Arabidopsis thaliana: one gene and its partners. The protein of the gene in region 1 interacts with the protein of each later gene in a pairwise test. Each region holds a gene or a part of one and is shown in the gene's direction. Other genes may lie near its edges. The genes, in order: APC2, HBT and APC11.

Region 1 (3,754 bases):
AAACTGAATGAGAAGTTTAGCTAGAATTCATGAGATGAAACAAATAAACTCACCTTTGCGGTTGGATGCAGTTTTACGGATGGGTGAATATAAACATCACCAATTATAGTTGGTTTCCTATTAGTACCATCTCCTGAAGCTAAAATATGAGGCGATGTTTCGCGGAATTGGGAAAGATATAAAGCCGAGCATTTCAAAGATTTCCTGTTTAAAGCAATTTCTTAGCATAAGGAGTAATCCAAGAACGTCTGAAACAATGATTACCACCAACTTACCCCGGAGTCTTGATCTGTTCCCAGAAATCCTTGTTCTCATATGTGTATAGTTGCTTCTTTCCAGCAAGAGGTGACAATATATCTTGATCTAATCTCACAAAATCTGCAGGAACAGACCTTGTAGCGGATTGGTAGTTGCTAGCTGCCAAGTTTAAAGAGATTATACAATGAATAACTTATGAAAAGACCAAAAGAATCATGAAAATGATGAAGCAGGTCTCTAATTGATAATATTGCAAGTCTCTGAGAGAGGCCAATAATGAATACTCACATGTGTCTCTTATTTGGCTATATACTTCTTCAATTGCATTGAAGATATCTGAAGTAAACACATAGACACCACAGTTTATCAAGTCACTGACCTGCATTGAGTAGATAATTTAAGCTAAACAAATTTCAGAGCCTGTGAAGGAATTAAGAAAACAGGATTGTTTAGCAGATAATTACGAAAGTCTCGGGCTTCTCTGTATAATGCAGGAGTTCTTTAGTATCAGGATCAGCTATCAATTCACCAAATTGGCTAGCTGCTTCTGCAGAAACCTGAAGTGAAAAAGCGATATTCATGTTTATGTTTGATCTTTATGTTTGTTTCCTTAGTGACATCTAAAATAACATCAGGATAACGAACCTTGATTACTAGCATAGTTCCAATACCACCATATCTTCGATGTGCGTCTACGAAAAGTAGTGAAGTACATCAAAGTAAGAAAATGAAAACGATGAAGCAGATTAGCGATTTCAAAGGGAGATTACCAAGTATGCCTTGAAGAGGGAAAGAACAGCAAACATCACAGTTGAGGAGGAAAACATGTGACTGTTCAAAGAGACAAGAAATGGAAGATCAATCAGGAAAACAAATGACTGATGAGGCAGGAACTAAAGTTGGGAATTTCATCAGAAATCAAACCGGTTTCTCTTCCATAATTCTATCACGAAAGTAATAAAGAGCACCAGCTGAACCATGGGGTTTATCTTCTTTCAAGTATCTATATAACAAGAACATCGTTCAATTCTCGATTTCACATTACACACCAAAAACCAAAAACACAAATGCTACTACAACTTACCGCACTGGAATTTTCAGCTCGTTAGATATTGAAGACACATACAAAGCAAATTCTCGTTCCTCGTAAAATCCAATCAGAAAAATCTGAGCCAGATTTGATATCTGTCCATGCCAAATACAAAACAAATATAATATGATCAATCATCATTACAAAGTTGAGAACTTTCCCATCCTTTGAGCCTGAAGAAACTATGAAAAGTTCAAAACTTTGACACTACAAATCATACAACAACAAGAAAATATTCCAAAGTGTAGAGTACTAAAATGGAACAAACCCACATAAAGACAAACGATCCATGTCAAATCAAAACAAGTTATGAGCAATCCACATTTCAAAGTTGACAACTTTCACGACTCAAGCAATACCAAACTTTTCTCAGGGATCAAAAGCAAGAAATAGTAAAAAGAAGAAACCTTTTTACAAGCAGAGATAGGATGATGAATCATAGGTTGACCAGCCAAAGGAATCAATGGTTTCGGTGTATTGAACGATAACGGGCGAAATCGAGTTCCTAAACCAATCCACATTAGCAAAAACCCAAAACCAAAATCAAAAATTCATGTTTTGAAAATAGAATTTGAGATCCAAAAGAGAATGTTATACCTTTGGTCGGACCACCAACCATGATCACAGCGACGACTTTCTCCTCCGACATGTCGAGATTCAATAAAACCTAGATTCGTTAAAGTTAAACACACGACGATGATCTGATTTTGTATTGAAAGGTCGTATCTTTGTAGTCGGATATTCTCAAGTTTTTTGAACTAAAGTTGAAAAACAGAGTAATCAGAATGGAGCCTAATAAAACGTCTTTTTTAATTCCGTTTTGTTTTTGCGTTTGTTAGCGTTTTATAATTGCGTTTGTGAATGACCAAACTTTATGAATCTTCTTCTATAGCTTCTCTCTCTGAACTTCATCAATGTAAATTTCAATCTTTTCTTCATTAATGTGTTCCGTTTGATTTTGTTTCTTCAGTGAAATGAAATTGAGATTGGTTTCTGATTTTATCTTCTTGCCAGTGAAACCCTAGTAATTGTGATTTTGCTGGGCAAGAAATTAGGGTTTTAGGAGGTTTTGTTACTTACTCAAGAGTGAAAAAGATGGAAGCTTTAGGTTCCTCTGATTGCAATTTAGAGATTTTAGAAACTCTATCAGACGATGCGATTCAGGAGATTACTGAAAGCTATGATGGATTTTTCACTACTGTAGAGTCTCTCATTGCTGGTACTGGAGATTCCTTAGTTGAAGATGAGTTTGTGTCTCATGTGTATTGTCTCTGCAAGTATGGGCTTGATTCTCTTGTTCGTGATCACTTTCTTAGATCACTTGAGGTACTGAACATAAACGTCTTCCTTTTAGATTAAAGTTTGAGTCTTGGAGCTTTCTGATTGCATAACTGATTAGCTTGTACCACTTAGTAGCTGCTCTGTTGGTGTAGAGTAAAAGTGGAAGAAGTATGTTTGTTCTCTTATGATACATTTGTTTTGTTTCAGCAAGCTTTTGAGAAGGGAGGTGCATCGAGTTTTTGGCAACATTTTGATGCTTATAGTGAGAAGAAACATCATGTAAGAAGTTACACGCTTGGTTGATTCTTTGTTTGCTATAAAATATTCTGAAATTGACTTCTAGTTTTGACTAAAAATGAGTGCTTTTGGGCAGAATTATGGAGAGGAGATTCAGATAGTGTTATGCAAGGCTTTGGAAGAAATTTCTATTGAAAAGCAGTATCATGAGAAGTGTCTGTCCATAGTAGTTCATGCTTTGCAGTCGTTTAAAGAACAGTCGTCAGATGATAGACAGAACTCAGATACAGAAAGAGTTCATCTTTTTTCGAGGTTCCAGTCAATGCTGTCTTCAACTCTGATGACTACACTTCCTCAGCATTTTCCTGGTATACCCATCTTTGAAAGCTTGTTCTTTGTGTGATTTCTGATGTAGTTTGATTGCTTGGAAGTTTTATTTATACGTTTGCCACTTGTTCAATCATTACTCTCTTATTGTTCCTCTTTTTATTATGTTCTTAGAAATACTCCACTGGTATTTTAAGGAAAGGCTGGAGGAGTTAAGCGCAATCATGGACGGAGATGGTATTGAAGAACAAGAGGATGATTGCATGGATTTGGACGAGAAGTTGAGATATAAAAACGGAGAAATGGATGTTGATGAAGGCTGTTCCCAAGGAAAACGTTTGGGACATGACAAGTTGGTGAAGAACATTGGGAAGGTGGTCCGTGACCTTAGAAGTATTGGATTTACATCTATGGCTGAAAATGCTTATGCTTCTGCCATCTTTTTGCTCCTTAAGGTATTTTTTATGCATCAGATTATTCATCTGCCTCACAGAGAGTTATAACACTATATCTATTGTCAGTAACTTGTACCCTGTTTGGCAATGTTATACTGTAGGCGAA
Region 2 (3,754 bases), 7.0 Mb from region 1:
CCTGGTTTTTGTTCCTTTTAAGAGTTTTATTCATATATTGATTGGTTTTGTAACTTTCTATTGTAGGTATGGAATCCGAGATCGAATAAACTCGGTATCGCTCCTTCTGCTGTGGATGTACTGAGGATGGTAGATGAGACATTGGAAGCGTTTTTCTTGTTGCCGATTCTTTTGCATCCAGTTTTACTTCCTGAGCTAACGTCAGGACTAGACAAGTGTATGCAGCATTATGTATCAAAGGCGAAATCATCCTGCGGTAAGCAGTTGATTGTTTAGTTTTTGGAATAAAAAAGCTCACGCTTTGTTCATTTCACTTATGGAGTTTCTGGTTTTGTTTTTATATGGTTTCTATTAGGCTCGCGGAATACGTTTCTACCCGTTTTGCCTGCTTTAACAAGATGCACGGTCGGGTCCAGACTACATGGTGTATTCAAGAAAAAGGAGAAGCCAATGGTAGCTTCTCACAGGAGAAAATCACAGCTGGGGACGGGTAATGACTCGGCGGAAATACTTCAGTTCTGTTGCAGGATCAACACTCTGCAGTATATCAGGACAGAGATCGAATCATCTGGGAGAAAAACATTGAATCGTCTCCCGGAATCCGAAGTTGCAGCTTTGGATGCTAAAGGTAAAATATTTGAACAGTCGATTAGTTATTGCTCGAAAGGAATACAGCAATTGTCTGAAGCAACTGCTTACAAGATCGTCTTCCACGATCTGAGCAATGTTCTCTGGGATGGTCTGTACCTCGGGGAAGTTCCTTCCTCAAGGATTGAGCCGTTTCTTCAAGAGCTCGAACGGTGCCTTGAGATTATCTCCTCATCGGTTCATGACAGAGTCCGAACCAGAGTCATTTCGGACATCATGAGAGCTTCTTTCGACGGGTTCTTATTGGTCCTCCTTGCAGGTGGACCATCGCGTGGCTTCACAATTCAAGACTCTGCTGCCGTAGAAGAGGATTTCAAGTTTCTATGCGATCTTTTCTGGTCAAACGGAGACGGATTGCCTTTGGATTTGATCGAGAAGGTTTCGACGACTGTCAAGAGTATACTTCCGCTGCTGCGCACGGATACAGATTCTTTGATTGAACGGTTTAAAGCAGTGTGTCTGGAGAATCATGGTTCTGACAGAGGGAAGCTTCCGTTACCGCCGACTTCTGGTCCGTGGAGTCCGACAGAACCAAACACACTTTTAAGAGTATTGTGTTACCGTTACGATGAACCTGCGACTAAGTTTCTGAAAAAGACCTATAACTTGCCGAGGAAGCTAACCTGAGAGTGACCTACTTACTACATTGGTACAAAACCCGGTTTAGTTTGAAGTGTGGAATATATTTTGGTTAAAGCGGCTAGCGATTGGTATTTGGCAAATTAAATTACTTGTACAAGAAAGTAGAAACGTTTTAGTGAAATATTCTTCTTTTGTACTAATCAAAAGCTTGTGGGCTTTGTTATATGTTGTCAACTGTTATAAATTTGTATATTTAATACCTTTGTTTTTCATCTTTCTTTTTCAAATTTATCAGATTTCTGATTGATAATTCAAGATTGCAACGATGGTTCATGAAATGGTCCTTTAAAAACTCATAATGTTTATGTGATGGATAACATCAGATATATGATGATATGGTTGAAACTTGAAGTATTCTAACTTGAAGTCATGATTCATGATCCGTTTAACAACGTTTGAAATGAGTATCAGAAAATGATTATCGTAGATATGAAACTTTTCCTGCAGACACGTTCTAGTATTTTGCTAAAATAATAGTTTGTTGCTTATTCAACCAAACAAAAACACTTGTTCAAGTAGCGCAATATCTTCGATAGTTCGATTCATTATTATGATACCCTTCTTCGACTTCTTTGATTTCCTCGAGTTCTTCTCCATACGTCACATGACTCACATCGTCAGCGATTTCATGGCAATGTTACATGTGGTGGACGACATGGAGTATCCGCGACCGCGAGATGATCTTGAAGAGGTGTTTGCTTTATGAATGACGATGAATCGGCTCTGTTTTCCTGTTTCCAACGGTTGTAATCACACCATCATCGTTGTCTTCATCTATACTAATATTCAAATGGTCAATTATAAAGCCCAATAAGCTAACTAAGCCCAAAAATGAAAACACACGGACTCAGCCCATACAAATTTTAACACTTAAGGCTAATGGGTCTGTCACGTGCGGAATAGACTGAAAACAGAGCATCGCACGTGCCGCATCAAAATTTGAAATCACGACGACTTCAAAAAAATCCCAAATGGTAAGAAAAAAATAAAAAGTTGCAGAAAAAACAGAAAACCCTCTTTTCTCTCTCTTCTCTCTCTCTCGAGGAAGAAAGGCAACAACTATGGAAGCTATGCTTGTGGACTGTGTAAACAACAGTCTTCGTCATTTTGTCTACAAAAATGCTATTTTCATGTGCGAGCGTCTCTGCGCTGAGTTTCCTTCTGAGGTAATCACCCTCTTCTTTCACTCTCTCTCTCTGATTTTACCTCTCTAATTCAAATTCTGTAAATCGAAGCTCTTGGAATGGTAAATTTGATATTTTTGGGTTTGTAATTCCTCTGGGTATCTATGAATTCGTCGAAAGTGCGTCTCTTTTTGGATTTGGAATTCGATAGCTTCACTGTGTTCTTCGAGATTGATTTTGGTTTCTTACCTTTTAGCCCTTTGTTTTCAAGATCCGTGTGTTCAATTAGGAGATGAATTCGTGTTCTTTTCTCTCTCTTGTTGAATTTGTTTTCTCTAGTAGCTGTGCTCAATGCTCATTACTGATTTGGTCTTTGGAAAATTTGCATTTTGAGGGTTAATGACTTTTGTCCATATATGTGATCTCAAGTTTAAGTATTTATTATCCTTGGAACTTAGCTATGAGTCAACTGTTAGAGGAATGTCTCTGGGATTATCTCAAGCTTTGTTAAAATTTGGGTTAATACAGCTTCAATAGTAGTTGAGAAAGTATTCATTCATTCAGCCTTTGGTCTGGAATATTTTCAACATTCGTAGTGGTTGTCCAGTTTCTAGCTTCAGTTAGTAGAAATCATGTCAATAAATGATTGGCCTTTTTGTTTGATCACTTTCTGAATTTTCCTCTTATATAGGTTAATTTGCAGCTATTAGCCACCAGCTACCTGCAGAATAATCAAGCTTACAGTGCATATCATCTGCTAAAGGGTGCGTGGCATTGTTTCTTGACTTGTTGCTTGTTAGCCTTTTAGTCAGAATTTTGCACCTTCTTTTGTTAGGTCGTTTTGATTATCTTTGTATATATATTTTTTTTTTGTTATGTAAAGGAACACAAATGGCTCAGTCCCGATACTTGTTCGCATTATCATGCTTCCAGATGGACCTTCTCAATGAAGCTGAATCTGCACTCTGCCCTGTTAATGAACCTGGTGCGGAGGTATTTAATGTTCTCTGGTATTTTGCCTTTATTCGCTTACTGAATGTCATTTTACAAAAACAGTGTGTCAGTTTCTGGACCTTATTTATTGATTTAGTTCAGTGAAGATAACAACATGCTTCTGATTATTGTGCAGATCCCAAATGGTGCAGCAGGCCATTACCTTCTTGGACTTATTTACAAGTACGTTTTTTGTTCTGTCTATGCATTTTTTCTTGATTCTGAATGGCTTAGATGAGATGATTCCTCATATATAACAGTGACCTTTTAGGTATACTGATAGAAGGAAGAATGCTGCTCAACAATTTAAACAGTCCTTGACAATAGACCCTCTACTTTGGGCTGCA
Region 3 (3,754 bases), on another chromosome or scaffold:
GGATGACTTATTTCCTTAGAATGATTCATCATATGATCATCCAGCCATTCCTCATGTTGATTCTGAATTTGACTCGGATTGTAAATTCCATCTTGAACCAAAATCGGATATCCAAACTGTTGTTGATATTGATATTGATTATGACTAAGATGATTAAAATTTGGATTCTGATCATAAACACCAAATGGATTTATCACTAGAGAATAACTTTACTGGTCAGCATCACTAGATAGAAAATTACTGGAGAAGATATTAACCTGATTTGGTCGCTGGATTGAAGAGATAATAGGCTTCAAAGACGAGAAATCATTGATTAGTCAAGGAGAGTTGAAAACATCGAGATAATTGGAAAGGAATAAGAACTCACTTCAACAACAGATGTTGGTGTCATGGCATTTGTAGCTCCCGAAGATTCTCCAGGTTCAATATGTGATTGATTTATGGTTTTGTTTTTGTGGTGATAAAGTTCTTTAAGATATTGATCAATGTACTTACACAAATCTTCACGGTTTCTATCAGTCAAATTAAGCTTCTCCCCTTTTCCACTAAGAAGTTGGAACATGGCTTCTTTCATCGTCCTCTCCGCATTATCGATCATCTTTTTGTTGTTACTCTCCATAGTTTTTGAGATGTTTTGTCTGATAAAACCTTCGTGGCTCACCATTTTCTTCTCTTGCTCCAACTTTGTCAACATCTCAAAATTTTCCATTACATTTTTAACTTCTGAATTCGATGGCCAGACTTCAGGGTTTGAGTTGAACGGACTATAAATCACTGCACATGCTTCGATTCCGCAGAGAACGGAAAGCTCGTGGATTTTTTTCACAAGCCCTTTCTTTCTCTTATTGAATGTTGCTTTTCTCATTGACTCATTGGTGATGTAAGATAGGTTTAGCTTCTTCCTCGTCATGGTAATGACAACAATAAAAAGGAATTTGTATGTCTAGTATCAAATATGTTTTGTATTGTTGTATGTTGTGTATTGTTTTTATCATGAGTTTGTTTATATGGAACAATCAACTGTTCAAGTGATGATCTCACAAATAGCTGGCAATTAAAAATATTGTAATTAAATGCACCAAAGTTCTTAATTAATATGAAATAATGCATAGTTATGCCACTTGGTACAAATAACAAAAATTATTGGCCAAAGTTTTTGAGTTGGCTACATCAAGATTACATCATAAATTCTGGTTATGAATGAATAATATGAGAACAATAAAAGAACTTTCCATTTAGATGATGAAGATATATATATTGTAATTAAATTTAGAGATTGTTTTCTATGTAAGTATGTACATCAAAATACAAATTATAAATATTTATTATTTTAGTTTGAATAACAGCTAATATGTACATTCAATAAAATTATTTACCTTTCGTGGACAATAGGACTAATAACTAGATTTAGAAAATGTATTCAATACATTGCATCTTCTCTAATGATTTATATTTGGATATGATAAAATACTTTTTGGTATTCAACTAATTTTACAGGTTGTCAAGTATATTACGTAAGATTTTGTAAAAAAAAAATTATTCTTTTAAATAAGATTTACTAGTACTAAAGGTATTTAACTGGTTGTAAACTTGTAGTGTTCTAGTAATATTGAAAATAAACATATTCTTCGTAAAAAATGATCAAACATTCTCAGATATATGAATGATCAAATCCAAAAAGAGATATGTTTATATCCAACATGTATATATCATAATTAAAAAAGTTTTAATATAATCCATCGTTTCAATACTTTTAAGAATTAAGATATCGAGATTAGTGACATCATATGATCTCTTCATAACTTTCGTAGATTGGATAAGTAAAAACAAACCCGTTATTTGGGCTTTTAATCTTAAAGCCCAATTTATTTCTCGGGCCAAAATCAATGAAACACGTCCGTCTCTTTTTCTCCTTCGTTTCGTTTCGTCACGCTCTTTCCCAAGTCCGATCCTCTCGCCATTGCCAGCAAAATTTCTTTCCCGGTTAAGAATTTTTCTATTTCGATTTCATCGTTCGGCTACACCATCGATCTTCACACTTATTTTTTAGGTATGTTCTTGTTGATCTTGTTTTTCGGACTTTGTAATGTGGTACCAGTTTTAGATAATTAGTTCTTGATAATTACGCTCAAATTCCGTTGCTTGGCACTGATTTATTCTGCGTTCGGTACTGATGATCGTTCTTCATTCTCATTCCGATGATTCTGTGGAGTTCACTGATCTAAGTTTGATTTTGGCATACCAGTTGTTCGATTAAATGCCTGAAAGAGAAAACATTCAATTCGTAAATTTCATATTTTGTCTTTGTTTTGGTTTATGATATTTTTATCTAATCTTAAGGCTTAACTTTCAAATACGTCTTGTATACGTGTTGCACAGAAGAGTTATACCTTGAGTTTTTGTTTGTGTAGTCTTTTGTTAGTAGTCTCTAATTTTACGAGTCTGTAACCATCTTTAGGCTTATAACAGGGTTTTTGAAACTGATTGAAGGTTTTTATTTATCCAGGAGGAAGCTATGAAAGTCAAGATCTTGCGTATCCTTTTGTTGCTTCATCTCTTCTTAGCTTTTTTGGGGGAAAGTTTATATTAGGTTAAGTGATAAATCATCCCAGGACTTTTGATGGTGATCATCTGATATGATAATAAACATCTTAAGTCTGTTTATCGTGTATTAGCTTTACCGAGTTAGATTCCCAGCTTGATGATTCATAATAACTTTTTGCATCTTCCATTGGTTTATTTAATAGACTAGGTTTGTTCAAAATGCCTGCATTTCGCTTTGTTGCACAAGTAAAAGAAGAAAAACGAAATTGTTGCTCTTGACTTTCTATGCTACTTCTGTCCTGCATACCCAAAAAAAAAACAGAGTAGGTTCCTCGTCCCTTTAGCTTTAACACATGAGCTCTTACAATGCGGAGTTTCTATTGTTGTAACTGATTGTTTCTCCCTGGAATAGATGGCATGCAGTTGCTTCATGGACATGGGATGCTCAAGACGAAACATGTGGGATATGTCGGATGGCTTTTGATGGTTGTTGTCCTGATTGCAAACTTCCTGGAGATGATTGCCCTCTAAGTAAAGTTCTCTTCTTTCATGTCTTCGCTTTTATATATGTTGCTTAGAACACCCACTATTTCTCTTGCTTACGGAAACATTGCTAAACATTTACTTATGGTAATAACTCAAAACAAAACTGCATGCCTTAGACCTTATCTGTTTTGGTGTTTTGGTGTTTGGGCAGTTTGGGGAGCCTGCAACCACGCGTTTCATCTTCACTGTATATTGAAATGGGTGAATTCGCAGACGAGCCAAGCTCATTGCCCAATGTGCAGAAGAGAATGGCAGTTCAAAGAGTAAGCAAGTTATGAGGAGGATTAGTCTGCAGCTCTCGTCATAGGGGATGTTTTGGAATGATCTCGTGTAGTTGTATTTGGACCGTTAGTGTTGAGTATGATCATCTGCTGAAACGCAAGATAGAGCTTTAGTAATGTTTTTGAAGCTTGTCCTTGGTTTGATTGCTTGGACAAAGTAGAGATCAAGCAACTTTTTGTGAGCTTCATCATCTATATGGTCTTTGTTTGTAGTTAATACTTTTTTTTTTTTTTTTGTATCACGTCGCCTTTGAATTGGTTAATATATGATTGGTTCTTAGTTAATTTTTCATTACTATATTAAAACGAAAAACAATATACATTTTGAATTTACGTTGATGAATCGACCGTTTGGTTAGTGACTCATAATTTTCAGTTCAAAA

Evidence for each region.
Region 2: the proteins of APC2 (region 1) and HBT interact in binary tests that used the Arabidopsis thaliana proteins (3 or more experiments, as listed by UniProt).
Region 3: the proteins of APC2 (region 1) and APC11 interact in binary tests that used the Arabidopsis thaliana proteins (3 or more experiments, as listed by UniProt).

Annotation. Positions count from the first base shown.
Region 1 is NC_003071.7:1,622,490-1,626,243, forward strand, and holds the start of APC2 (anaphase-promoting complex/cyclosome 2), read left to right. Parts: upstream 1-2,140; 5' UTR 2,141-2,443; coding exon 2,444-2,674; intron 2,675-2,836; coding exon 2,837-2,908; intron 2,909-3,002; coding exon 3,003-3,234; intron 3,235-3,367; coding exon 3,368-3,648; intron 3,649-3,749; coding exon 3,750-3,754. Other genes in the region: AT2G04650 (ADP-glucose pyrophosphorylase family protein), read right to left, coding at 54-204, 276-417, 547-637, 723-815, 904-950, 1,029-1,089, 1,183-1,261, 1,343-1,443 and 2 more. UniProt on the Arabidopsis thaliana protein: Component of the anaphase promoting complex/cyclosome (APC/C), a cell cycle-regulated E3 ubiquitin-protein ligase complex that controls progression through mitosis and the G1 phase of the cell cycle.
Region 2 is NC_003071.7:8,635,498-8,639,251, reverse strand, and holds the start of HBT (CDC27 family protein), read left to right. Parts: upstream 1-1,951; 5' UTR 1,952-2,351; coding exon 2,352-2,456; intron 2,457-3,105; coding exon 3,106-3,178; intron 3,179-3,297; coding exon 3,298-3,407; intron 3,408-3,543; coding exon 3,544-3,590; intron 3,591-3,678; coding exon 3,679-3,754. Other genes in the region: AT2G20010 (Gls protein (DUF810)), read left to right, coding at 67-256, 356-1,275. UniProt on the Arabidopsis thaliana protein: Component of the anaphase promoting complex/cyclosome (APC/C), a cell cycle-regulated E3 ubiquitin-protein ligase complex that controls progression through mitosis and the G1 phase of the cell cycle.
Region 3 is NC_003074.8:1,751,446-1,755,199, forward strand, and holds APC11 (anaphase-promoting complex/cyclosome 11), read left to right. Parts: upstream 1-1,843; 5' UTR 1,844-2,050; exon of another isoform or gene 2,051-2,506; 5' UTR 2,507-2,515; coding exon of another isoform or gene 2,516-2,544; 5' UTR 2,545-2,829; coding exon 2,830-2,867; intron 2,868-2,954; coding exon of another isoform or gene 2,955-2,956; coding exon 2,957-3,075; intron 3,076-3,241; coding exon 3,242-3,357; 3' UTR 3,358-3,696; downstream 3,697-3,754. Other genes in the region: AT3G05860 (MADS-box transcription factor family protein), read right to left, coding at 1-167, 258-290, 368-910. UniProt on the Arabidopsis thaliana protein: Component of the anaphase promoting complex/cyclosome (APC/C), a cell cycle-regulated E3 ubiquitin-protein ligase complex that controls progression through mitosis and the G1 phase of the cell cycle.